Linked DNA regions of Macaca fascicularis. The protein of the gene in region 2 purifies or fractionates together with the protein of the main gene of each other region. This does not show direct contact. Links are inferred from orthologs where the notes say so. Each region holds a gene or a part of one and is shown on either strand. Other genes may lie near its edges. The genes, in order: GIGYF2, DIS3L, EXOSC6, EXOSC7, HBS1L, EXOSC5 and EXOSC8.

The links.
Region 1: the proteins of DIS3L (region 2) and GIGYF2 purify together in Homo sapiens (affinity purification with mass spectrometry; 3 studies listed by BioGRID and IntAct, with this or other methods). This does not show direct contact. The link is inferred for Macaca fascicularis from reciprocal best matches to the Homo sapiens genes DIS3L and GIGYF2.
Region 3: the proteins of DIS3L (region 2) and EXOSC6 purify together in Homo sapiens (affinity purification with mass spectrometry; 3 studies listed by BioGRID and IntAct, with this or other methods). This does not show direct contact. The link is inferred for Macaca fascicularis from reciprocal best matches to the Homo sapiens genes DIS3L and EXOSC6.
Region 4: the proteins of DIS3L (region 2) and EXOSC7 purify together in Homo sapiens (affinity purification with mass spectrometry; 3 studies listed by BioGRID and IntAct, counting the BioPlex papers as one, with this or other methods). This does not show direct contact. The link is inferred for Macaca fascicularis from reciprocal best matches to the Homo sapiens genes DIS3L and EXOSC7.
Region 5: the proteins of DIS3L (region 2) and HBS1L purify together in Homo sapiens (affinity purification with mass spectrometry; 5 studies listed by BioGRID and IntAct, with this or other methods). This does not show direct contact. The link is inferred for Macaca fascicularis from reciprocal best matches to the Homo sapiens genes DIS3L and HBS1L.
Region 6: the proteins of DIS3L (region 2) and EXOSC5 purify together in Homo sapiens (affinity purification with mass spectrometry; 5 studies listed by BioGRID and IntAct, with this or other methods). This does not show direct contact. The link is inferred for Macaca fascicularis from reciprocal best matches to the Homo sapiens genes DIS3L and EXOSC5.
Region 7: the proteins of DIS3L (region 2) and EXOSC8 purify together in Homo sapiens (affinity purification with mass spectrometry; 4 studies listed by BioGRID and IntAct, counting the BioPlex papers as one, with this or other methods). This does not show direct contact. The link is inferred for Macaca fascicularis from reciprocal best matches to the Homo sapiens genes DIS3L and EXOSC8.

The regions. Positions count from the first base shown.
Region 1 is NC_088386.1:128,766,799-128,770,298, forward strand, and holds part of GIGYF2 (GRB10-interacting GYF protein 2), read left to right. Parts: intron 1-1,012; coding exon 1,013-1,222; intron 1,223-1,335; coding exon 1,336-1,541; intron 1,542-2,693; coding exon 2,694-2,848; intron 2,849-3,500. UniProt on the Homo sapiens protein: Key component of the 4EHP-GYF2 complex, a multiprotein complex that acts as a repressor of translation initiation. In the 4EHP-GYF2 complex, acts as a factor that bridges EIF4E2 to ZFP36/TTP, linking translation repression with mRNA decay.
Region 2 is NC_088381.1:42,977,862-42,981,361, forward strand, and holds part of DIS3L (DIS3-like exonuclease 1), read left to right. Parts: intron 1-99; coding exon 100-261; intron 262-2,337; exon of another isoform or gene 2,338-2,411; coding exon of another isoform or gene 2,412-2,420; intron 2,421-2,530; coding exon 2,531-2,778; intron 2,779-3,129; exon of another isoform or gene 3,130-3,340; coding exon 3,341-3,433; intron 3,434-3,500. UniProt on the Homo sapiens protein: Catalytic component of the RNA exosome complex which has 3'->5' exoribonuclease activity and participates in a multitude of cellular RNA processing and degradation events.
Region 3 is NC_088394.1:70,113,775-70,117,945, reverse strand, and holds EXOSC6 (exosome complex component MTR3), read right to left. Parts: upstream 2,801-4,171; 5' UTR 2,761-2,800; coding exon 1,942-2,760; 3' UTR 491-1,941; downstream 1-490. Other genes in the region: AARS1 (alanine--tRNA ligase, cytoplasmic), read right to left, coding at 3,592-3,777, 4,120-4,171. UniProt on the Homo sapiens protein: Non-catalytic component of the RNA exosome complex which has 3'->5' exoribonuclease activity and participates in a multitude of cellular RNA processing and degradation events.
Region 4 is NC_088376.1:107,902,752-107,906,251, forward strand, and holds part of EXOSC7 (exosome complex component RRP42), read left to right. Parts: intron 1-910; coding exon 911-1,034; intron 1,035-2,738; coding exon 2,739-2,894; intron 2,895-3,500. UniProt on the Homo sapiens protein: Non-catalytic component of the RNA exosome complex which has 3'->5' exoribonuclease activity and participates in a multitude of cellular RNA processing and degradation events.
Region 5 is NC_088378.1:39,077,030-39,081,086, reverse strand, and holds the start of HBS1L (HBS1-like protein), read left to right. Parts: upstream 1-1,257; 5' UTR 1,258-1,388; coding exon 1,389-1,431; intron 1,432-4,057. UniProt on the Homo sapiens protein: GTPase component of the Pelota-HBS1L complex, a complex that recognizes stalled ribosomes and triggers the No-Go Decay (NGD) pathway.
Region 6 is NC_088393.1:48,530,784-48,534,283, forward strand, and holds part of EXOSC5 (exosome complex component RRP46), read right to left. Parts: intron 1,858-3,500; coding exon 1,717-1,857; intron 2-1,716; coding exon 1-1. UniProt on the Homo sapiens protein: Non-catalytic component of the RNA exosome complex which has 3'->5' exoribonuclease activity and participates in a multitude of cellular RNA processing and degradation events.
Region 7 is NC_088391.1:16,546,591-16,550,660, reverse strand, and holds the start of EXOSC8 (exosome complex component RRP43), read right to left. Parts: upstream 2,801-4,070; 5' UTR 2,781-2,800; coding exon 2,764-2,780; intron 1,356-2,763; coding exon 1,319-1,355; intron 1,132-1,318; coding exon 1,068-1,131; intron 686-1,067; coding exon 612-685; intron 1-611. UniProt on the Homo sapiens protein: Non-catalytic component of the RNA exosome complex which has 3'->5' exoribonuclease activity and participates in a multitude of cellular RNA processing and degradation events.

The DNA.
Region 1 (3,500 bases), on a different chromosome or scaffold from region 2:
CCTTTACTTAGATTTTAATTTATTGGATCTGTTACATTGGTTCTCATTATTTATCTGCTTTTCAGATTTTAAAAAATCTGTTCTGTTTTCTTTGTCCTTATGGGTTTATGCTGTGTGTGTGTGTGTGTGTGTGTGTGTGTGTGTGTGTGTGTATAAATTGTCATTTTGGTGGAGGTTTTAGGAAGTAAACATGTGTTTTATTTCTATGCTTAACCAAAGGCCTACTTAATTTTTAAGAAGTAATTCTGGCCGGGTGCAGTGGCTCACGCCTGTAATCCCAGCACTTTGGGAGGCCAAGTTGGGTGGATTACGAGGTCAGGAGTTCGAGACCAGCCTGACCAACATGGTGAAACCCTGTCTCTACTAAAAATACAAAAATTAGCCAGGCATGGTGGCAGGTGCCTATAATCCCAACTACTCAGGAGGCCGAGGCAGGAGAATCACTTGAACCTGGGAAGTGGAGGTTACAGTGAGCTGAGATCGTGCCATTGCACTCCAGCCTGGGTGACAGAGTGAGGCCCTCTCTCCAAAATAAATAAATAAATAAAAAGGTAATTCTGAGGCCAGGCACGGTGGCTCATGCCTGTAATCCCAGCACTTTGGGAAGCCGAGGTGGGTGGATCGCTTGAGGCCAGGAGTTCAAGACCAGCCTGGCCAATACGGTGAAATCCCATCTCTACTAAAAATACAAAAAATTAACCGGGCATCGTAGCTTGAACCTGGGAGGCAGAGGTTGCAGTGGGCTGAGAGTGTGCCACTGCATTTCAGCCTGGGTGAAAGACTGAGACACCGTCTCAACAACAAAAAAAGAAGTAATTTTGCATTTGATGTTTTTATTCTCCTTTTTAATACTGTTAGCGATTTACATTTTTATTTGCAACAGCAGAATTTAATCCCATCAAGTTAATTTTATGTAGCTACTATGTGTTTGTATTCCATTTAGTATACTGGATATTTATAACTATTATCTAAAAACAAGAATCCTCAGCTAGGTTCTATTTTCATGCAACAGCAAAGGCGCCAGCAGAGGGAGTTGATGAAAGCTCTCCAGCAGCAGCAGCAGCAGCAACAGCAGAAACTGTCAGGTTGGGGGAATGTCAGCAAACCTTCAGGTACCACGAAATCTCTTCTGGAGATCCAGCAGGAAGAGGCCAGGCAAATGCAAAAGCAGCAGCAGCAGCAGCAGCAGCACCAGCAACCAAACAGAGCTCGTAACAATACGGTGTGTGCATTTTCCTAAGCTGTCGTTTTATGGACTAGTATTATCTTTTCTGACTGTCTTTTTATCTTTTTAACATGATTAACGATAATCATTTTTCTCTTTTTCTTTAACAGCATTCCAACCTGCACACCAGCATTGGGAATTCTGTTTGGGGCTCTATAAATACTGGTCCTCCTAACCAGTGGGCATCTGACCTAGTCAGTAGTATTTGGAGTAATGCTGACACTAAAAACTCCAACATGGGATTCTGGGATGATGCAGTTAAAGAGGTGGGACCTAGGAATTCAACAAATAAAAATAAAAACAACGCCAGTCTCAGGTAGGGCTCAAAATGACCACACCTATGCACCTTGGTTGGTTGGGAGGTGAGGATGGAGGAAGTTTGATGTTGGGTGGGCAGGAAAAGGTAGTTATTTAGTTTTTACTTACCGTTTTCATCTGTGTTCAAGCACATGCAGTCATAATTATGGTGATTGCTTTCTTCCCCATAGAAACATATTCGTATTATTTCTTGGGGCTCCTTCTGCTGAGCACTTATTCTATCGCCTAGCGCATGGTAACCACTTAATAAATATTAGGAATAGTATAATGTTTTTGTTGTGTTGTTGAACATTTCTCCAAGGTATTCTTTAGATACCTTAGCATTTTTCCTAAATTTGTATTTTTAAGTGATTCATACTATTAATATGAGTATTATAAAATACCTCTGTAATGACCTTAAACCTATTTATTTTTATAAGTTAGTTACATTTTCATCTTCATCTTTCTTTCCTCAGTATACAGTGTTGTTGAACGAGCATGGGTTTTAGTGTTAAATACATGAACTCAAATCCCAGCACTACCACTTATTAGCTGTGTGACCTTGGGCAAGAGGGAACCTCTTTGGGCCTCAGTTCCCTCATCGGTAAAATGAAGATAATAATAACAACTTTATGCATGTAATTGCAAAGATTAAATGAATACATGATAAGTAGTAAGTGCCTGGCACATAGTAACTACTTAATAAATGGTAGTGTTGTCAGATTGTTTCTTCTTGATTTAGGGCCTAACATATGAATATAGGACAATAAATTTTTGTTAGTTTATTGAGCATCTTTGCCAGGCACTGTGCTATAGGCCTTTTCATACAATATCTATTACTTATGATAACCCAAAAAAGTGTTAGTACCATTTTACAGATGAGGAGACTGAGGCTTAGTAAAATTAAACAACTTACCTAAGGACACATAGGAAGAATTTCATCCCTTTTTCTAAATAGATGCCCTTTATCCAGAAATTAAGATATATTAACTGAGACTAGATGTTAAGGGTATATCCAATCCAAATATTTGAATTTTTTTCTTTTTTGGAGCCAAGCATTGGATTACTGGACATCTATCCAATGTTGCCAAGACATTATTTATGGTGTTGTGCTATAATCATATAGTAACAGTTTCTGGGAATATAATATCGCCCTATTGTTTTGCTTTAGTAAATCTGTAGGTGTGTCTAACCGGCAGAATAAGAAAGTAGAAGAAGAAGAAAAGTTGCTGAAGCTCTTTCAGGGAGTAAATAAAGCCCAAGATGGATTTACCCAGTGGTGTGAACAGATGCTTCATGCCCTTAATACGGCAAATAACTTGGATGGTAAGAATTGGGGAGGGAAACCCGGCATGTGGAATGACAGAGCAGGACCCACAGAGAGGCTGGCAAATTTGAACAGTGGTCCAGAAGTCAAAAGATGAAATCTAAGGAGATCAACTCCTGCACCTGCCGTGGGAACTTGACTCTTTAATAGTATTACTTGTGAGAAAAGTTTAGTAATACTAAACTCAAATAGGTTATTGGTGGTTGTCAAAAATTAAATGCCATCTTAGACTGCCTTAATGATACACAGGACAGAGGAGGTCTTAGTTCCATACTGTTCATTTTATGGGGAACATTGCCAGCTATGTCAGGTTAAAAAAAAAGTAACTGTCATGCTGGAGACAAAGGTCAACCTGGACAGGTGATGGCTGAGGTGATGTGACATCATTCCCTTTCTACCTTTTGGGGAGGGAGTGGGAATTGTGATAAAGCAAGTACACTTATTTTGTGTGAGGTAAAACTAGGACCAACGTGCAGAAGTGAAAAGGCTTTGGCACAGTTTAGAGAAAAACTTGCTGATGGTTAGCTGTTTACAAACAGAACTGTCTCCCATCCCTGAATGTTTGAAGAGAGACTGGTCATGTCAGGATTCCCATAACTAACAGGCTGAGTTGATTAGTCCACCTCTGATACCCTGTCTAAAACCAAGAAA
Region 2 (3,500 bases):
TCTTTGGAACCCAGTGCTGTTTGCCTCTTGTTTGATGCCTCTAATTGACCCACTTAACTCCTGGTGCTCAGCTGTGTTTTATTTTTTCCTTTTGTGCAGGACTTCAGGGTGGTCGTGCGCATCGATTCTTGGGAGTCAACATCTGTGTATCCAAATGGACATTTTGTGCGTGTTTTAGGAAGAATTGGAGATCTGGAAGGCGAAATTGCAACCATCCTGGTGGAAAACAGTATTTCAGTCATCCCTTTCTCAGAAGCTCAGGTCGGGTTTTCCAGAAACCTTTGGTCTAGTGACATTTTCTTTTTTCTTTTGTTGTTGTTTCATCATTAAGAAAGAAAAGTCGCTGTGTTATGTAACAACCCACTGTGTTAAGCTACAGATAATGGAAAAATCTCACTCCTCTTTATTCTATATTTGGACCAAACTGAAGTCAGCTTTAAGTGTAGAATTAGTTTTCTATAGCCTCATAGCTCTCAAATTTTTATATTTTCCAACTGGGCTTAAAAATGATATGTCAGTGTCTTATAGTCAGTATACATCCGTCCCCAGCAACTACAAGGACACCTAGTTACAGACCCAACTGAGCTCCACACTCTCTGTCTAAATCATTCAACCAGAGGCTGCATAAAGCTGCAGGGGGTGGATTCCTGGGATTCATACATCTCCGACCCATGGGTCAAAAATTATGCTCACGATGAAACAGTTTTTGTGAACCTTTACAGAAAACAAAAATCCCATAAATGTAAAACATCAGCTATTTCCATCACTTCATGATCTTTTAAAACCCTCATAAATCTTGTGTATTATTCTTGCATGACTATATTCATCATGTGCACACGCTGATTTCTGTTCTGCTTCTTTCACTTAAAATTATTTTTATATATTGACATAGCCTACTTATTTTAATGATAATGGTAAATTATGGTATATTGACATACCCTAGTTTGCTTAAGCATTTCTCAATTGTTGAGCATTCAGCTGTTTAATTTTTCAGTATTATAAAAAAATGTAGGTCGGGGGCGGTGGCTCACGCCTGTAATCCCAGCACTTTGGGAGGCCAAGGCGGGTGAATCACCAGGTCAGGAGTTTGAGACCAGCCTGGCCAATATGATGAAAACCTGTCTCTACTAAAAACACACAAAAAAATTAGCTGGGCATAGAGGTGGGCACCTGTAATCCCAGCTACTCGAGAGTCTGAGGCAGGAGAATTGCTTGAACCCCGGAGGCGGAGGTTGCAGTGAGCCGAGATCGCGCCACTGTGCTCCAGCCCCGGCGATAGAGTGAGGCTCCGTCAAAAAAAAAAAAAAAAAAAAAAAAAGTTACTTCGAACATTTTTATAAACACTGCTTTTAATTTCTTTTTTTTTTTTTTTAGATGGAGTGTTGCTCTGTCACCCAGGCTGGAGTGCAGTGGCAAGATCTCGGCTCACTGCAACCTCTGCCTCCCGGGTTCAAGCAATTCTCCTGCCTCAGCCTCCCGAGTAGCTGGGACTACAGGCGCACACCACCACACCTGGCTAATTTTTTGTATTTTTAGTAGAGGTGGGGTTTCACCGTGTTAACCAGGATGGTCTCGATCTCCTGACCTCGTGATCCGCCCACCTCAACCTCCCAAAGTGCTGGGATTACAGGCCTGAGCCACCACGCCTGGCCTGCTTTTTAATATCTTTTTGATCATTCTCTTGGAATGTAATCCTTAAAGTGAGATTACCAAGTCAAAGGGTATAAAAGATTTAAATAACTTCTTATATGTACTAGCAGATTGTTCTCCAGAAAATTTGGACCCATTTGCATTGCCATAAGGAGTGTCTGGGTGTTCTTATTTTCATTATAGTTTTTCACAGAATAGGAGCTATCATAGTAAACTATTGTAGAATATTTTACATCATTAAATTTTTATATTTAACATTAGTTTCTGGAAATTATTTGTTGACTTGTTTGGCAGCTCTTAGTGAAAATGTTACAATAAAATAAAGTGTGAGCTATACATCATAGGACTAGAATTTTCTCTTCCCTTTTAGCCTACTTAACTGCAAATTGATGGCTTAAACAGATAATAATGGAGAGAAAATGCCCTAGATAGGTCTTGTATAAAATTATCTTTAAGGGGTAAGCTTTTAATATTTGGAACATGTTGATTATTTTTTCAAGTCTTAAATTTAAAGCTTGACTACATTTAAACGAATGGATCATTTGAAAATGGGCTACATGTTGTACTCTTGTTCCAAGCCTCTGTAACTAAAGAGACTGGTAGAAGTTGTGGGACATTTTCTGTCCAAATGTAAGGGTCCTCAGGGGTATGGGACTTTGTCTTTCTTGTTGACTCCTGACTTTCCAGAGCCCAGCACAGTACCCCGGATATCTGAGGCACCTAATAAACAATTATTGATCGAAGGAAGCCGACATAGGTTGATGCAGAAGGTAATTGAGAATGAATGAATTTCTCTGTGGTCGCATTGAGAATATCAGTGAGTGGATTTTTACAGAAATGTGTGGTGCATGAATTGCTGAATATTTGACCTCTCATACAGATGTGTGAGATGCCGGTAAACACACCAGAAAATCCCTGGAAAGTGAGTCGTGAAGAGGAACAAAAACGTAAAGACTTGAGGAAAAGCCATCTCGTATTCAGCATTGACCCCAAAGGTTGTGAAGATGTGGATGACACACTCTCAATCAGAACCTTAAATAATGGCAACCTGGAACTTGGGGTCCACATCGCAGATGTAACACACTTTGTGGCACCAAATTCTTATATTGATATTGAAGCTAGAACAAGGTAATGCTATTTGAAATCAGCTCTATGGTTGTATATATGTGACTGTGTATTTTGTGTCTGTACTAGTTTCAGGTGTTCAAAGATCTCATGTTTGTGTAATTCTGAAAGTCCCTTCTGGAAAAAAAAAAAAAGTTGAGGTCCACTCCCCATTTTCGTTTAGAAAAACAGTACCTTGATCAATTTACCTTTCCTTTTAACATAACCTTTTCACATATTGTTTCCTACTAAACTGAAATGGGTTAAATTTTCATGTAGTAATATACTATTTTATAAAAATGCTGGATCATTACACTCCAATTTTTCTTATGCAACAAAGATTCACTGTCACTTGCTCTTTCTTTCTCTTATCAGTGGAAGACTATTCAGCCCAAAGCAGTATCACTTAGAAAAATGGGACCATGGGAATAGTTTTATTACCCAGTCTGCTGCACTTTATGAAACAGCAACTACCTTGGGGAATCTGTAGTGAGATTTTGGCCATTTACCTCCCTGCGGCCCACACAGTCAGCAGTTCTGCTTCTCCCTGCTGAAGGTCGCGGTGCCGCGTGTGTGTCATTCACAGGGCCACCACTTATTATCTAGCAGATCGTCGCTATGACATGCTGCCTTCCGTCCTCAGTGCTGATTTGTGTTCCCTTCTGGGAGGCGTTGATAGGTGAGTTTATGGCTTTTGTCTTCAAAGCTTGTCCTGGCCCTTCTGTGGCTCCCGATGCTGCCTGCTT
Region 3 (4,171 bases), on a different chromosome or scaffold from region 2:
AACCTGTAGTGGTGGGTTTAGCTTCTTTAGAGGTTGCATTTCGAGATGATGGTCCTGGGACTGACACGGTTAGGAGGTGGCCTGGGACTGCACCAGGTCGCCATCCTCATGAAGCTGAGGCTCTCTTGCAAGGGGCAGATGACAGCCCATCCCCACCCCACCCCCACCCCCACCCCCACCCCCCACCCCACCCCACCCCTCCCCTCCCCTCCCCTCCCCTCAGAGGGCACCCTCAGCCTTGTCTGAATGCAGACACAGCTGATCTTCACTCCCCTCCCGATACACCGCCAGTCAACAGATAGCCAGCAGATCTCCCTGAGTTTCCAATCTCCCTGAAACTGCTGGAATGTTCTCAGTGTGTACCCCACACAGCCCTCTTTGGGCTCCAGACTCCCCATCTACTCTAGGAAGTCACCCTTCAGAATTACATTATGTCCTCTCCCCACTGGTGTGATACTATTTCAGACCTGCTCTAGAAAGACACGTTATGTCAGAAGGGAAAAAATAAAATTTGTATTTTTCCTGGTCAGGGGTTCTGGGTGTGGCCCCAGAAACTCATTCTGGTCCTTGGGCTGACCCAGGTCGGCCCTTCCTAGAGAAGCTGAGTGCAGAGAGGGGACCAGGCCGCCTTCCAAATGGCAGTCACCTAGCTTCCTACCATGCAGTCTTGAGCCCAAACCAGCAGAGCTGGTAGCGACACAGGAAAGACCCCACCTCGTGGTGAGTCAGTCAGGTTGTACCTGGCCTTCCTAGCAGTGCACCTGCCCTCTGCGGTGCTGCTCAGGGTCTTCCTTGTAGGACCAGGGTGCCACTTCTCACCAGCAGTGGAGGCTCGGGTTGTGCCATTCTGCACATGGCCAAGGACAGATGGCTTCTACGCAGAGCAAAACCCTTTTCAGCTACCCAGCACCAAGCCAGGTTGGGGCACGAGGTGCACTCAGCGCACTTCTGGGGCCGTACTTTTTTTCCTCAGACGGAGTCTTGCTCTTGTTGCCCAGGCTGGAGTGCAATGGTGCGATCTCCACTCACCGCAACCTCCACCTCCCGGGTTCAAGCGATTCTCCTGCCTCAGCCTCCCGAGTAGCTAAGATTACAGGCATATGCCACCATTATTAGTGCTGGCTAATTTTGTATTTTTAGTAGAGACGGGGTTTCTCCATGTTGGTCAGGCTGATCTCGAACTTCCGACCTCAGGTGATCTCCCTGCCTTGGCCTCCCAAAGTGCTGGGATTACAGGTGTGAGCCGCCGGCCCGGCCAACTCTCCCTACTCTCGTCGTATCTCAGCAGTTCCCCTAACTCTGGTTCATGTGGGGGCAGCTGCTTCTCCAAATCACAGCGCTCCCCTCAGGCTCTGCAGCTCTTTTCAGCCCGTCTCCTGTTCACGTGGGCCTAAGGAACAGAACCCGTTTAAGGCAATGCCGCCGCGACCCTTGACACCTGGGATGCAAGAACAAAAGAGCCTTGCTCTCTTAAATCCCGGACCAAGAAGAACCACACCATAAGACGTTTTTCAAATATAAAAGGGTCTTTCTTTTGGCTCAGACACAGAAGGCACAGTCGTCTTGTCCATCCTCTGAAAAGTCGCCCAGTTATATCGGAGGGGGTCACTGGCTGGCCTGAATGACAGCAGCTCTAGGTACCAGCTTCCAGGTAAGTCCAGCTAAAGTTTCCAACTTGGGAGTCAGGATGCGCTCACAGGTTTCCTCAACTGGGTCGAAGCTAAGAGCCGGCTCAAGTAAAGTTCCTTTAACGAGGTTTGTAAAAACCCTTTCCAACACCACAGCTGTCCGGCGCCTTGGCTCTGCTAGAGCCTACCCAGGTGCTCTCCAGGGCTCCGGCTGCTTACCTCGACGCAGGCTGGAGGCCGACGGCGCGGGTCTTTTCAGGGACGGCGGCAGCACGGTCCTCGGCTTGCGTCCGTCGTTGCTCAGGCTTCTAGTTCAGGGCTGGGCGGCGGCGCCCCTGCGGCGCGCCGCCCGCACCAGGCTCTGCTGCAGCACGGGGTAGAGGCGCTGGCAGCCCTCGAGCCCCAGGCGTACGGCCTCCGCCCAGCTCTCGATCAGGCCGCCCTCGCCGCTGCCCAGCAGCCCGGCCACCTGATTCAGCACAGGCATGAGCGCCACGGTGAGGCCCGCGGCGGCGCGCTCTTCCTCTAGTCGCGTGGGGTCCAGCAGCCAAGTGGGCGCGGGCCCCGGCGCGAGGCTCAGGCCACAGCCCACCACCAGATCGTACATCTCAACGCCCGCGTCGGCCAGGGCGAGCGCGGCGGCGGTGAGCGCGGCGGCCAGGGCCGAGCCGCCGTCCTCCAGCAGCAACGCCGACACCTCGAGCTGCGCGCGCGGGTAGCGGCCCAGGCGCACGGCCGGCTCCAGTGCCTCCTGCAGCGCCAGCGCCAGCTCACGCTCCTCGCCGCCGCCCGGGGGAGCGCGGCGCCGGCGGCCCGCGAAGGGCGCGCGGCGGAAGTCGCACAGCAGGCGACCGCGCAGCGCGGCCGGGGCTTCGCCGCCAGATCCGGCCGGGCCGCCGCCGCGCTCGCCTCCCTCGGCCTGTCGCGGGCCCGACACTGCACACAGCACCTTTGTGCCTCCCGCCTCCAGGTAGGCCGAGCCTTTGGCCTGGCTCAGCAGCCCGGCGCGCGCGTACACGGGCCGCAGTCGCGTTGGGTCGCGGGCGGCGGGCGCCTCCTCCTCGTCGGCCGCGTACAGCTGCGGCGGCTGCGACTCTTCAGGGCCGCGGATGCGGCGGTGGTCCCCGGGCATGGCGGCTCCTGGCTTGAGAGCCGCTTCCGCCCAACGCACTGCCGCACCCACTGGTTCTTCCGTTGCTTAAAGACGCGCGCCTGCGTGAGGGCTGTCGGGAGAGTGACGGGCGACGCTACAGCGCCTGCTGGAGGCTCGGAGGGAGAACGGCCGGCGTCCCTGGCGCCCTGGTCCCACTTGTGCAGGGCTGCCTGATCCATCCCTCCTGCTGGAAGGCAGCGGGAGAGCAGCTCCAAGGCTTCTCTGCTTCCACTAACCCCATCTACTGAATTATGAACGCCTTGCTCCATGTCACCCTACCTATTTGGCCTCAACCTCCACAAACGTTTGAGGCAACCCCAGGGGCTTTTCCCAAAATTTAGGGTTCTGGGGCTGGACTAGGTGAACACTACAGCAGCCAGTAGAAGCCACAGCATTTATTCTACAGACAGCAGGGGCCAAGGGCTGTCAAAACAGCGAGCTCCACCTGGGAAGAGGGATAGAGATCATATAGCATTAAGTATTGCACGTGGTCCTTTTATTCTCTGCAGCAAAAAACGATTCGTCCTTGCTGACACGGAAAGCTCAGGCTGGAGAGCTGTTATCTACAGATGCGAGTGTGGTGATCAACAGCAATGCGGGGGTAGTGGTTCTCGACAGATGGCACTGATGTGGAGGGCTCAGGGCAGAAGTATAAGGGGCGCTGAGTCACAGGACTGCTCGTGAGGGTGTTCCAGGTACGGCCGGGGTAGGAGGGGCTCTCAAAAGGTCCCAGGATTCAAATGTTCTTGTAGCAGATGAAGAGCTCCCGGCTGGACAGATGGAGCCAGTAGAAGCCACCTCCTCCCCCGCTCAGTTCTTTACATCCCCGAGGCGCAGCTGGGCGAAGGAAGTGGCCAGCTGCAGCGCCTCCTGCAGGCAGCCAATGTTTTTGCCTGTGGCCTGTGCAGACACATCCTTGCCCCCACCTTTACCGTCCATCAGGCCTGACACCTGCTGTACCCACTCGCTGGCTTTTAAGCCCCGATTGGCTGCATTCTAGAAGAAAGAAAGGGAAGGGGGAAGTCAGGACAGAAAATGGGATTGAGGGAGGAGCCATCACCCACTCCTTTGCCCTGGGTGATACTGCTGGAGGCCGAGACAGACTTTACGGCTAGTGCAGGGGGCAGTCATGGCCCCTGCCAGGACAGGACAGAGTGGCAAAGCCAAGTATCAACCAGACAGATGCAACCAATGAGGAGGCCTAGGTAAGGGGTACTGGCAAAGGTGACCAACAGGCAGGCAGGAGACAGGCTCTTTTAAATGCAGGTTGTACACACACAGGCCTCAGCAAACAAGCTTAAGACCCAACACTTCCCACTGGTGCAAGGTGGTTCTGACCTGAGGGACTTGACACAGGCAAGTGATCTTGCCAGCCTCGTTGTCCACCGTG
Region 4 (3,500 bases), on a different chromosome or scaffold from region 2:
TTTCTATTGGGCTATCTTTTTTTTTTTTTTTTTTTTTTTTTTTGAGACGGAGTCTCGCTCTGCCGCCCAGGCTGGAGTGCAGTGGCCCGATCTCAGCTCACTGCAAGCTCCGCCTCCCGGGTTCACGCCATTCTCCTGCCTCAGCCTCCCGAGTAGCTGGGACTACAGGCGCCCACAACCGCGCCCGGCTAATTTTTTGTATTTTTAGTAGAGACGGGGTTTCACCGTGGTCTCGATCTCCTGACCTTGTGATCCGCCCGCCTCGGCCTCCCAAAGTGCTGGGATTACAGGCGTGAGCCACCGCGCCCGGCCGGGCTGTCTTTTTTAATAGGAATTCTTCATATAATCTGTCAGATAGTATTTTCTCCATCCAGATTACATTTTTAGTTTTTAAATAATGTCTTCTGATATAAAGAAGTTCATGATATATATTTATATAATATAAATGATATATGTTAGTAAATATATATAATATATATACACATATATAATTGAATATATAACTTTTTTCCCTTTGTGAATCCTGTTCAAGAAATAGTTATCTACTCCAAGGTCATGTAGATGTTTTTTTCTAAAAGTTTTATTGTCTTATCTTTCATTTTTATATCTATGGTCTATTTCATATGGCTTTGTGTGTGTGGTGTGAGGTAGGGATTGAGATTCTTTTTTTTTCCATTGGGATATCTGATTGACCCAGCATCATTTTCTAAAAGATGCCTTTCCTCATTGCATTGTGGTGCCTCCTGTGTGCTTTTGACAGGGATGACAGGGATGAGGATGATAAAGAATAGGCATAGTGTATCTTTCTCTTGTGAGACACAGGGATTCCAACTCCTATTCTCAATCTTAAAAAGAAGTTATTTTTTCTCCTCCCAGTAAGTGGGAATTTTAATTGTGCTTCTGCTTCCAGCATACCAAGAGTTCGAGTTCTGGAGGATGAAGAGGGGTCGAAGGACATCGAATTGTCTGATGACCCTTATGACTGCATACGACTAAGTGTGGAGAATGTCCCCTGTATTGTCACTCTGTGCAAGGTATAAGCTTGTGTTTTATGTTTTTTGTCTTCCCTGTGGGTGTGGGTCTCCTCCAATGCCAACCTGCTGAGGTTACTTAATAGGTTAAGAAGTTGTAATATCACATACCATATAGAAGTAGCTTTTACCCAAATCCAATAATTTGGTTATATTAGAAACCACTACCATGAGTAGCTCTTTCTTTTCTTTTTAATTGGAAGATACAATGTGATCCTTGGAGCCATGAGTGTGTTTGTAGTAATAGTAGCCAGAGTTTGTTAAGCTCCTTCCGCATACCGTGCACTTCACTAAAGCACCATGTCCTTTAATTCCCTCAACTCTATGGGGTCTAGGGTGGTTGAGTAGTGGAGGGTGGTGAACACTGTCCACCCTATGAAATGGGAGGTTGGAGCAGGTCTTGGGTATCAGGAGTGGTTTTCACATAGAGGGCTGTGGAGCTGAACAGAGGGCAGTGGAGCTGAATATCAGGGTGATGTGACATATAACTAATGCTGCTCCAGGCTGTGCAAAGAGGCCTGTATTGGCTATTGGCTGGGATTGTAGCTAATTCCACTCAGGATTCATTATCTCAAAATAAAGCTAAACAGGTCAGGTTTAATTCCACTGAGATCACTTCATGAACAGAATGTGGTGAAGTGTTCAGACAGCAGGATGTTGGGTCTTGGCTTCTTTCTTTTCTTTTTTTCTTTTTTTTTTTTTGTGACAGTCTTGCTGCAACACCCAGGCTGGAATGCGATAGTGTGATCTCGGTTCACTGCAACCTCTGCCTCTCAGGTTCAAGCAATTCTCCTGCCTCAGCCTCCCAAGTACCGGGATTACAGGCACGCACTATCATGCCTGGCTAATTTTTGTATTTTTAGTAGAGACGGTGTTTCACCGTGTTGACCAGGCTGGTCTCAAACTCCTGACCTTGGGTGATCCGCCCACCTCAGCCTCCCAAAGTGCCGGGATTACAGGCATGAGCCACCACACCTAGCCGGCTTGTTCTTTCTTGTTTATTTGTTTTGAAACAGGATCTTGCTCTGTTGCCCAGGCTGGAGTGCAGTAGCACAATCTAGGCTCACTGCAACCTCTGCTGCAACTCCCCCACCTGCCCAGGCTCAAGCTCAAGCAACCCTCCCACCTCAGCCTCCCAAGTAGCTGGTAGCACAGGCTCGCACCACCATATCTGGCTATTTTTTTGTATTTTTGGTGGAGATGGGGTCTTGCCCATGTTACCTGTGCTGGTCTCAAACTCCTGAGCTCAAGCAATCCATCTTCCTCAGCTTCCCAAAGTGCTGGGAGGCATGAGCCACTGCGCCCAGCCTTTGGCTTGTTCTTGAGTGTGTCCCTTAGCATGGACCCTCTTGATTTCCCTTGCCATCAGTGAAACGTCCATGTGGCTTTGTGTATTAATTTCTCCCTTGTGCCCCTCTGTTGGAAAGCCCTAGTGGCCTTTGCCTTGGATGGTCTCTGAATTCTAGTTTTAAACCCCCTTGCCCTGTTTTTCCATGTCATGTTTTTATTGTACCACCCACACAGTGGCCTGTGAGAATTGTTGAACATTCCTTTAACTATTTTCCTCATGAGCAGAATCTAAAATAAGACCTGGAATGACCAGTGCGGGTACTTTGCCTGGTGTAGAGATTCCCACCACGAGGCCATGAAGGGTGGGGCTCTGAGGCCTGCGTGACCCACTGTGTGCTGTGCGCCCTGCCTTTGCAGATTGGCTATCGGCATGTGGTGGATGCTACTCTTCAGGAGGAGGCCTGCTCGCTGGCCAGCTTGCTGGTATCGGTGACCAGCAAGGGAGTTGTGACGTGCATGAGGAAAGTGGGGAAGGGCAGCCTGGACCCAGAGAGCATCTTCGAGATGATGGAGGTGAGGCCCTGGTTCTGAGGAAGGTGCGGGGACCTGGCTTGGGTGCCTGCTGCTTCCTGCTCCCTTGGTCACACCATGGCGATTCTCCCCATTCACAGCCTTGACCCCAAACCTGGAGGTTGGAGAACAGCTGGTTTGAGCCAGGGGTCTGCTGACCTAATCAAGGGGGTTGCGGGGGTAGATACTCTGGACTGGGAGGTAAGGAGCCTACCAGTAACCATTTCTTATCCTCAGTAAGTGCCCCCATCTCATTTCTATGTGTCTAAATAAGACCGTTGGACTTGGATAATGTAAAGAGCCGCTCGTAACTCCAAAATCGCAGGCCTTTGTAACTTGATGAGGGAATAGAATTCTTGGCTCACTGCTTCCTGTCCCTTGAAGTGGGCGAGTAAAGATAGAAGCAGGGGCTGAAATGTGGCTGTCTGCCAAATTCATTACTGCTCTAGAAGTGTTTAAATGGAGACAAGCAGGGATGGTGAGAAATCCGACCCGCTGGAGTAGGAGTGGGTTGCCCCCATCACTGGCAGAGCCATCAGGGCACTTCCATAGTTTTCTGTACTGTTTGCCCCACATGTCTGTCACCTCACTGGCCTGGAAGCCCCGCAG
Region 5 (4,057 bases), on a different chromosome or scaffold from region 2:
TAAATTTGGATTACTCTTATTTCTTTCTATTGTGCATAGCAAAAAGCTGAGTAAGCTTTTAATTATCTCTAGAATTTGACATTTGCCTTTGATGTGAAGTATCATCATTTCAAAAACACAAGCTAAAACTGAAGTGGTTTGTTCAGTATAATGAGGTTGGTTTCTTATATAACATTATTAACTTTATGTTCTAAGAAATGAGGACATTTAATAGTGGGTTATAGATTCATGCATCAACAACATTCATCATTACTACCTAAGGCCAGTGCTATGTCTAAAAACCTATATTTAATACAATGTTACACACAATTATGTGTTCAATGAATGTTCAGTGAATCCTTCTTTATGATGCTAATAAATATCGTTTATATAGCTAAAATCGTTTACATAGCTAAGGGCAAATCGTTGTTTACTGGAGATACTAATGCCGAACGGAGTGAATACATGAAGTTGTAAATTATATGAAAGCAGGGTGACCTATTATAGCCAGAGTCTCAATTTAATAATATATACCCGTTTAAAAATAGCCTTATTTCCTCCTCTAAAGCTTGGACTCTTTTTTTTTTTTTTAAGATAAGTTCTCACTTTGTCGCCCAGGCTGGAATGGAGAGGCCCGATCTCAGCTCACTGCAGCCTCGACTGCCCGGGCTCAGAGGATCCCCCCACCCCAGCCTCTTCAGTAGCTGGGACTATAGGTCTGCATCACGGGGCCGGCTAGTGTTTGTATTTTTTGTAGAGACGGAGTCTCGCTATGTTGCTCAGGCTGGTCTCAAACACCTGGGTTTAAGCGATCCGCCCTCCTGGGCGTCCCAAAGTGCTGAGATTACAAGCAGGAGCCACCGCACCGGCCTGGGCTAAATCTGCTACCAAGTTTACACAAGTTTGTTGAATGCCTACTGTGTGCCTAATTAAAGATCAAAGTTTGATAAGACAAGGTCCCTGCTCTTACTGAGCACATAGCTTTCTCAGGTTATCAGAAACCACATTTGTAAAATAATCCAGAACGCTGGCGTAAGTAGGTCAAGGTTCCCCGCTTGCAACATTTAGTCCAAACCAGTCAGTTCTAGGAGGCGCGATTTCCCCATCCCCCTCCGTCGCCCAACCTTTGGGTGGGGCCACGCCCAAAGGCTCCCTCCCCTCTTCCCGCCGTGCGCAGCAGTGCGCATGCGCCCTCAGGGAGTCGAACAGTGACCCCCCCCCCCCAGGCTTTGCCGTCGCGCGGTGCACAGATAAGACGTCGCGCTTGCGCAGGCGCTCGGCGCAGAGGCTTGCGGGAAACCAAGATGGCGCATGGGGGTTCTCCAGGGCGCAGTTGGCACCTTATCAGTATCTAAGCGGAGTGTTTTGGAAGGAGTTAAGGGGCTGTGGCAAACGCCCTCTCCGCCGTCATGGCCCGGCATCGGAATGTTCGAGGCTATAACTACGATGAAGGTAGGAGGCAGGGTCATGCCGGGACGTTCTTTTGCGGTTACAGCTGGGATCCTAGCCCGTTGGCATCTACTTCAATCTGTGAGTTTCTCGTCAGTGGTGCCCTGTCGGAATTGGGAGAGCCCAGTTGGGGAATATTACAGGCCTTCTAGTGCCGCCGAATGCCGTCGTTTTAAAGTCATGATTTCTGCCCTCTGGTGTTGATTTTGTTTGGGGAGGGAGAGGTGCTGAATAGCGTCATATGGGTAGGACATTGGTGAGGTTGGGATCCGGTGATATTTAGTCACGTAAGCATTATCACCTCTTCCATTGTTTCCTCCCATGTCGGGCACTCACGTGCCTGCTTCTAGCTCCTCTCTTTCAGACCCCCTTTGAGAAATGTCCTTGAAACGTTGCTTATTTGTAAAACACAGATTGACTTAATGCTTACATTCAACAGACCTGTACCTGTGCTAGATTTACACGGTAAATCTTTTCTGTGTGTCCATACATACTTAGTGCAGAACCAGTTTGCGCTAATTTATTTTTCAACAAATTTCAAAGTGGAATCTTAGGAGACAGTAGAAAAGACACATATTAAAAAGGCCCAAATAATGAGTCGATCAGATGATCGTGAAGTTTATACTCAGTTCTTGGCTGGTAATGCTTGATGTAAATGTATTTTGAAATGTAAATAAACGGCGGTACTAGAAGAAAGAGTGTATGGGAAAGGACTTTTTGATATTAAAAAATGAAATAAAAGAAAAATGTCTATATGAATGTTCTGTAGGAGTTAACAGGAGTTAGAATTATTTTTAGGAGGAGCACATCCCTCTTCATGCAGTAGATAACTATAGGCATCACCAAGCATCACATAAACTAAAAATATAAACAAGTATGAACTAATGCAGAAGAAGAATAAAGACCTATGCTTTGCAAAGTGCAGAACATGTAATGCTTAATATGTTGGTGATTGTCGTTGGCACCCCAGTAGATTATTATGGAACATCAGTGTGCTCTAACTAGAGTGAGGGCAGCTAACACCCTGTTCTCCATTTGGAACCTGTGACTTCAGTCCGTCTAGAACATGTGAATTTTCTGGTGGTTACTTTAGAATAGAGGCCCTTTTAAATAAGTATTGCAATGGATGGTGTTGCATGTGGACCATTGTCACCTAAGAAATGACTTTAGACTGAGAGATATTTTTGCAAATATAAAGTACATGAATAGGCCTAATTATTATTCGTTTCTTTAATAGTTGTTTATCATTTCCTCAACCACCATTAAGTTAGTGCTTAGAGTACTGTTCTAAGCTTTGAGGACTGACGGTAAGATATTTGAGGGTAGTCTAAAAGGAGAAGATTATACCAGTTACAGATTATTAGAGTATGAAAAATGCTACAAAAGGTACTGAGAAAACGCTATGGGAGGGATACACAGATGAGAACACTTAATTCAGAATGGATTGGGGGGAGTAAGCAGGATTTCTATGTGAAGGAATGCTTCATGGAGGAGAGGTGGTTGGCCTCAGGGAGCACCTTGGCTACTTAAGGTCAGGTTGTCATGTTTCTTTGGAACAATTGGTGACATCATAACCAAGCTGTTCCTGTAACATTAAGGAGGTTCATCCCCTTTTCTTGTTTATAAAAGTTGTACTCATTATCAAGGTCCAGTTTATTTCTCTTCTTCCCAGTTAGGCTTTCTCTTGAATTCTCAGAATAATAATTTAAAAATTCTCTTAAGTAATACAACCTCATTAGAGAGAGTGTGTGTTCTAAAACCTATTGGTTTCTCTACTTAACTCCCACTTTGTTTTTCTCTGTAATTTATTTATTTATTTATTTTTTTTTTTAATTTTTTTTTTTTGAGACGGAGTCTCGCTCTGTCGCCCAGGCTGGAGTGCAGTGGCCAGATCTCAGCTCACTGCAAGCTCCGCCTCCCGGGTTCCCGCCATTCTCCTGCCTCAGCCTCCCGAGTAGCTGGGACCACAGGCACCGCCACCTCGCTCGGCTAATTTTTTGTGTTTTTAGTAGAGACGGGGTTTCGCCGTGTTAGCCAGGATGGTCTCGATCTCCTGACCTTGTGATCCGCCCGTCTTGGCCTCCCAAAGTGCTGGGATTACAGGCTTGAGCCACCGCGCCCGGCCTTTCTCTGTAATTTATATAATACTTTACATGACTGCCTCAGTCACTGATTTAAAAGTCCCAGGAAAGCAAAATCCATACTTTAAGTGGCTGACATAGTGTTCTTTACATGTAGTAAATATTCCATAATTTTGTTGATTGAGGAAACAAACTACGAAGATTGCAGGAAAGAATTCTCTTCATCTTTTTATGTGGTGGCACTTTAGGGTCAATTTCAGCATTGACAAGCTGACTTAGTAAAAAAAGAGTCTCATTATGTTTTTTTTTTTAAGAGACGGGATCACACTTTGTTGGCCAAGCTGCGGTGTGAGTGCAGTGGCATGATCATAGCTCTCTGTAACCTCCAACTCCTGGGCTCAAGCAGTCCTCCTGCCTCAGCCTCCAGAGTAGCTAGGTCTATAGGCATGTGCCCCATGGCTGGTTGATTTTTTTTATTTTAGTAGAGACAGCATCTGGCTGTATTGCCCAGGCTGGACTCAAATTCCTGGGCCCAAGTGAGATCCTGC
Region 6 (3,500 bases), on a different chromosome or scaffold from region 2:
CCTATCAAGCATGAAGCGCAGTCATTTTTTGTCTACACCACTCCTTCCCTATTTCCCCGGGTATAGCCCTCTGCCTTTCCTTTGTAGAACTGTACTCCATGCCCCTTATTCCAACCACGCGGTTCTGACAGGGGCTTTCAAGCTTAGTATTCCTGCCCCAAGGGGCTAGCCACAGTGCCACTCACTTATCTGGTGCCTCTCGGCCTCCCAGTCACCCTTCCATGCTCTGCCCCACAGGGGCTGGAAGCCAGCAAGCTGTATGTCCCAGACTCCCTTACCAGCTAGTTTCCAGCAGTAATGAGGTGGGAGAATGGAAGAAGAGCAGCACCCTGGTCCTCACTGACAATGGCAGGCGCTGATGGCCGTGGCTGTGTGACAGCCATGGAGGTGGGGTGGGTTCTGGACCTCAGTGGCCAGGGCAGAGGCAGGACATGCTATGTGCATGCAGAACCAATTGAGATGATGTCTCCAACATGACAGAGCAGGAGCTGGCTCACAGGTTCAGCCCAGGTCTGGGAGGGGTTTCTCATCTTTGGGTGTCACTCCTGGTTCCTTTTTCCTCCTCTAGCTCCTCCAACACTGTTGTTACAAAGTCCCTGCATTTAACTCCCTCCATCTGAAACTCTCCAAGTGGTTTCTGTCTTCTTGACTGGAGGGGACCATTATAGCACTGGGCAGAAAACTCAGAATAACCTGAGCTTAGGACACTGCACCTGAGCCAACGAGGAAAGCTCTCTTGTCTTCTTGTTTGCTTTTGAGCCTCTTAAGATGGAAATGGAACGTAAGGGGTCAGTCCCAGCCTCAGGAGAGATGCTGGCCGAGAGAATGAAGCTGACGTGGAGAGAAAGGCAGGGATGGGAAGTGAAGCAAGGACATCCTGATGCTGTTTAAAGTCCTGGTTTTATTTTTTTTTGAGATGGAGTTTCACTCTTTCACCCAGGCTGGAGTGAAGTGGCGCGATCTCAGCTCACTGCAACCTCCACCCTTTGGGTTCAAGTGATTCTCATGCCTCAGCCTCCCGAGTAGCTGGGATTACAGGCACGTGCCACCATGCCAAGCCAACCTTTGTATTTTTAGTAGAGATGGGGTTTCGCCATGTCGGCCAGGCTGGTCTCGAACTCCTGGCCTCAGGTGATCTCCCGCCTCAGACTCCCAAAATGCTGGGATTACAGGTGTAAGCCACCACACCCGGACATACATTTCCTTTCTAGTTTATTTATTTATATTTTGAGATGGAGTTTCACTCTTGTTGCCCAGGCCGGAGTGCAATGGCGCGATCTTGGCTCACCACAACCTCCACCTCCCGGATGCAGGTGATTCTCCTGCCTCAGACTCCTGAGTAGCTGAGATTACAGGCATGCACCACCACACCACACCTGGCTAATTTTGTATTTTTAGTAGAGACGGGGTTTCTCCATGTTGGTCAGGCTGGTCTTGAACTCCTGATCTCAGATGATCTGCCCACCTCGGCCTTCCAAAGTGCTGGGATTACAGGTGTGAGCCACCGCACCCGGCCCCACATTTCCTTTCTAATTAAGCAAGTTTGAGCTGGGTTTCTAGCACTTGCTGCTAAATGAACCACGACGATAAGAGCAGCCCTTGCTAAGTGGGATCGAGGTGGCATGAGCCTATTATCTGCAGAGAAGTGAGGCCTGGAGGAAGGGAGGGGGAGCTGTCTGGCCTCTGCCCTTCAGCCACCCCAATCTTCACACCTACCTTTTCTTGCTTGGATGTAGGATCCAGTACGAGAGTCCCATCAGAGTCTAGGGCGCAGGTGACCCCACAGAAGAGAGCCCGCATGGGCACACCTGCATCCACCAATGCCATGCAGGCGGCATTCAGACAACAGGCCAGGAGCTGAGCACCACAGGCAATGGTTAAGTTTCTTTTTTTTTTTTTTTTTTGGAGATGGAGTTTTGCTCTTGTTGCCCAGCCTGCAGTGCAATGGTGTGATCTCAGCTCACTGCAATCTCCACCTCCCGGGTTCAAGCGATTCTTCTGCCTCAGCCCCCTGAGTAGCTGGGATTACAGGCATGTACCACCACACCCGGCTAATCTTTGTATTCTTAGTAGAGACGGGGTATCACCATGTTGGCCAGGCTGGTCTCAAACTCCTGACCTCAGGTGATCCACCTGCCTCGGCCTCCCAAAGTGCTGGGATTACAGGCATGAGCCACTGTGCCCAGCCTAAGAAGTTTCTACCGTAGGCCTGGCCAGCAGAGCAGATCCATGCCTCCCCCGACCAGGCTGATGCCTGTGGCAGACATCACTAATCGGTCACAGAAGGGCAGTATGGCAAGAGTGCTTAAAAGTGGTCTGGGGATCAAGTAGCCCTGGGTTCCAGACCCAGTTTTGCTCTCTCAGCTGTGTGACTTTGAACAAATGACTTAGAGTCTCAATCTCCTCATCTGTTAGACGGGGAATATAATATTCAACAGGTATGTACTGAAGTACGTACCACACATTTGTTGGCAAGTAGGGTCAGAGAAGGGAAGAAACCTTCCAAAGTCACGTGGGGGAGGCACTGGCAAAGCCAGGCTCAAAACTTGGGTAGCAGCCACTCTGCGGTGACAGAGCTGGCAGGGCAATGGAGGAAGAGCCATCGCGCTGCTGCCTGCAGGGAGCTCAAAGTGGAAAGACAGCACAGGTTGGGAGTCAGCTGGCTCTGCCTCAGTTTCCATGTGTGTCTTCTCCAGGCGGAGCAGGCCACACAAAGGCCACAGCTTTAGAGTCAGCCGGTTCCAGTTCTGCTGCTGATCCTCCACCACTTCCTCTGGGCTTTACTTTCCCCTTCTGTAAAATGGGGTCACAATACTTTCTCTCTCTGCCCATCCATAAAATGTCTATCCAGTTCAGGGTCATGTTCCAGTAAAGCCTTCTACAGTGCCTAATTCTGGTCCTCAACCTCAACCTCCCTCACCTCAGACAGGGAGATCTTTCAAGGCCAAGCTTCTGACTCAGCCGCTGTCTGCTCAGGGCGCCCCCAGCACTGAGGGCCTGAAATCCACTGAGGTGCCGAGTAGAAGTGATTGCCAGCCGGGCACAGTAGCTCACGCCTGTAATCCCAGCACTTTGGGCGGCCAAGGTGGGCTGATCACTTGAGGTCAGGAGTTCGAGACCAGGCTGGTCAACACGGCAAAACCCCATCTCTACTAAAAATACAAAAATTAGCCTGCTGTGATGGCGGGCACCTGTAACTCCAGCTACTCAGGAGGCTAAAGCATGGGAATCGCTTGAGCCCGGGAGGCAGAGGTTGCAGTAAGCTGACACTGCACCACTGCACTCCAGCCTGGGCGACAGAGTGAGCCTGTCTCAAAAACAAACAAACAAAGAAAAAACCAAAAACACAAAAGTGATTGGCACAGGCTCTGGAGTCAGACGGGCCTGGGCTTGAGTCCCGCCTGTGCGGCCTTCCAGTTGTGTGACCTTGGGCAAGCCCCTTCCCCTCTCTGGGCCTCAGTTTTGTCACCTAAAACATGCGAACATAAGAACACTCATCT
Region 7 (4,070 bases), on a different chromosome or scaffold from region 2:
CAACTAAGTGTTAAATAACACAGGGTGTATTGTAGTGAAAGAAGCACAGGCTTTGGAGTCAGATTTATGTCTCAAGTTTTACTTATGAGTCTTATGTACCTGGAGAGGTTACTGAACCTCATCTATAAAACAGGAGGTGGAGAAAAATAACAAATGATTGTTGTAGGGATTAAAGTGGATTATTCTGTAAAGTGCCTAAAAAGGTGTCTGGAACATAGCAGGTACTCAGTAAATGGTAGCCATTATTCCCTCAAATTTTTCTTTTCAACAATTTCAATTTTCCACACATTTACACAGATTACATGTCATCACTGGCTAAAAGGATGTCACCAAAAATCTGTTAATTTCTCAAATGATATAACCAAATGTTTTAAAAATTAAGGGTGGCTAAGATTTTTAAAGTTGTTTCATTTTGGTACATTTGACAAATGTTCAGTCATTAAACTTGGGTCATATTATTTAACACTCATAGTGAAAGCTCTTGGGAAATTAAATATTAAAAACTGACACCCAACTGTCAAATCAAGAGTGGAATTATAGGTGTATATTACAATCTAATAAAGAAAGCTAACTTTGTAACTCAAATCTCAATAGGACATATTTAGAGTTACCGCTTTAACTCCACAGATCACTGTAGTATTTCCCAACTTCACTAAAGCAGAACCATCTGCGGTACTAATTGAACCTGAAAAGATAAGCAAAGTGAAAAGTGCATGAAAGGAAAACAGCTACAAAATTATCTACATAATCATTAAAATTAAGTGTTTTAGCTTGCTGTGTATGATTATCTTGCTACCCCTCTCAGTTGCTTATGAATATTTCGTTAGAATAATTGATTTTTACATAACTATTTTAAATTAGTGTTTAAATAATTATTCACCTGTCCTTGAATTTGTGTTAATCATTTTTCATTCAGTTACAGGGCTTTTGTACAGATAAAAATCTCTTCACACAAAAAATCATCAAATTCTTTAGAAAAAGAGAATTTGGCTGAAAAACTGTTTAGGTGGTTCAGAGACTAAAACTTGGGAATATCATACAGTTGACAATGGAAAATACATCCTTACCTATGTTGACAGTTGTGGTTCTGAATTCACCAAGTTCTCTTCCATCAGGACGGCAGTTCTCTTTCTAAATAAATGTTTATATAAAAATAGATTATACCTATTACATATTTTACACATCTATCCCAAGTTTTACACACACCAGGGGAAACACATTAAATGTTACTTCAAATGGATTAAATTACTTGAAATGTATCTTTAAAAGCAGCCCATTGTTATCAAAAGGCAAAACATGTACATAACTTTTTACTCACCAGAAATCTCCTGTAATACTCCAGAGGTTCCACAGTTCTGAAACACGTGTTAAAAATATATCTGAGATAAACTGATGAATCTTAACATAAATCCAGAAATTGGCAAAGATCTTGAGTGTTGTGATGCAGCATACATCTCCACAACTTTTAACTAAAAGTAATTCTAGAAAGTAAAAATCCTTGCAGTAGCAATCACATTCAATTGCTGTCCTTAACTCTGCCATTAACGATTAGAAGATTGGCGTCTAAAAGCCCTTTGCGTGAGCTCTTTAAAAGCGGATTAATCTAGGTGTCAAAAGAATCTTGTCATTCTTGCTCTGAAACAAGGATCCTAGTGATCATGAATATCTTACTAGATAACTCAGGAAACAAAAAAGGTACATCTTTATTTTCACTGTAACTGAAATTTAGCATATTCTTCAATTATGACTGTAGGCAATAAACCATAGTAACATTAGCAGTACCTGCAACTTTAACAACCACAGAGACCACAGATGTCTTCATTTGTACCCTATAGCTATATAAGGTATGTTCAGGCTCACTGTTACTTTGAAATCCCAGCAGTTACTACTAGTCTCGCCACTAGATCTTGTTTAAGAAGGTTAATTTTAAAGCAAGTATATATACTACTATATCATGTCTTCGGAGTTTATACTTAGAGATAACTATTTCAACATAATGGATTTCCTTTGGAATCCTATTTATCCATTTTTTAGAAACTTTAAGAAAGTCCATTGGCTTCACACACAATAAAACCTTCCAAACAAGGCATGATCCTTTTAGAAATAAATGACGGGAGAGGGAGAAGCAGGCGGTATGTGGCTCTGATGCAACAATCTTGATTGACTGACTGACTGAGACAGAGTCTCAGTCTGTCGCCCAGGCTGGAGTGCAGTGGCGCGATCTCGGCTCACTACAAACTCTGCCTCCCGAGTTCAAGCGATTCTCCTGCCTCAGCCTCCTGAGTAGCTGGGATTACAGGCGCCCACCACCATGCCCGGCTAATTTTTACATTTTTATTAGGGACTGGGTTTCACCATGTAGATCAGGCTGGTCTCTAACTCCTGACCTCAGGTGATTCGCCCGCCTCGGCCTCCCAAAGTGCTGGGATTACAGGCGTGAACCACCGCGCCCGGCCACAATCTTTAAAAGAGTACAACTATGTCTCCTGGGACTGAACATTCACTACACACCACGCTCACGAGCGCTCGCAGCGGGCATGGAACTCTATAGAGTCCTTTCATCTCTCGTTTCATTGGGGGGAAGAAGCCCTTTCTTTTCACTATAACCACCTCCAGGTCCTCCCACTCGTCGCCTGCTTCGACGAGGAAGGAAATGGCACCCCAACGGGGTCGCCCTCCGGGTGAGAGAATCCCAGCTAAGAGTTAAAGGAAGCTGCCGTCCACCTGGGTACAAAACTCGACCCGCCACCTGAAAACACTCACTTGAACCCAGCCGCCATCTTCCCGCCCGCGCGTCTGCGCCTGCGCCGCTCCTCGCTTGCGCGCCTGTTCCGCCGCCGCACTTTCGACACGGTTGCCCGGGCCGCTCACGCCACAGGAAACGCCAAGGTGGGGACGCGACGAAAGGTCCCTGGCCCGCCTTCGCATCGACTTTCCCCTGCCCAGACGCCCTTCTAAGTTTCCTTGCCTTGGACGTATTTTGACGAATCTGCTGTTAAAGAAGGAGCCGGTGTCCGTCTTTATTAAAAAACTGGTGCTGTAACTCAGAATAAGGCCAACCGTTCAGAGATAACAGGGTTTCCAGCGAAGAATTAAGCAGTGCGTGTGGAGCGTTATTCCAATGTTTCTGCGTATTTTTTTTCCGCCTGTGACTTAGGCTGAGCCCTGGCCTTGCCTCTTCACGGTCAAGGGCTCCTTGCTCCAGCACATGAGAAACCTGAACTTTTTTTTTTTTTCTTTTTCTTTTTTGAGACGGAGTCTCGCTCTGTCGCCCAGGCTGGAGTGCAGTGGCGGGATCTCGGCTCACTGCAAGCTCCGCCTCCCGGGTTCACGCCATTCTCCTGCCTCAGCCTCCCGAGTAGCTGGGACTACAGGCGCCCGCCACCATGCCCGGCTCATTTTTTGTATTTTTAGTAGAGACGGGTTTCACCGTGTCAGCCAGGATGATCTCGATCTCCTGACCTCGTGATCCGCCCGTCTCGGCCTCCCAAAGTGCTGGGATTACAGGCGTGAGCCACCGCGCCCGGCCGAGAAACCCGAACTTTATTTGCGCTCATTGTCCCACCACGTTCTGCTCTGCATCAGCTTGTGTTGTAGACTGTGTAGTGCTCAAGGCTGCCATCTCCTTCCTAGGCGGGGTTACCAGATAAAATACAGTTAAATTCGAATATCTGATAAACACAGCATTTTTTTTAAGCATGAGTATGCCCCAAATAGAGCATGCAATTAGTTGTTGCCAGAACCTGGAGGGAGCTGGGAAGACTTTACAGATAGATAGTGGTGATGGTTGCACAGTATTGTGTATGTAATTAATGCCACTCACTATTGTAAAAACGATTAAAATGGCAACTTTTTGTTTTATTTTACCACAATTTATAGAAACTAGTGTAACCAGAAACCTTTAACTGGATGAGTTGTATGGTGACTATCTTAATAAGGCTGTTAAAAACATGATTAGTTTTTTTTGTCTGAAATTCAAATTAAGTAGACATCTTGCATATTTGCTAAACCTGGCGGCCTGCTACGGAACCTGGCGCGCCTCTCCACCGACTGGGCGCCGAGGGCACGAG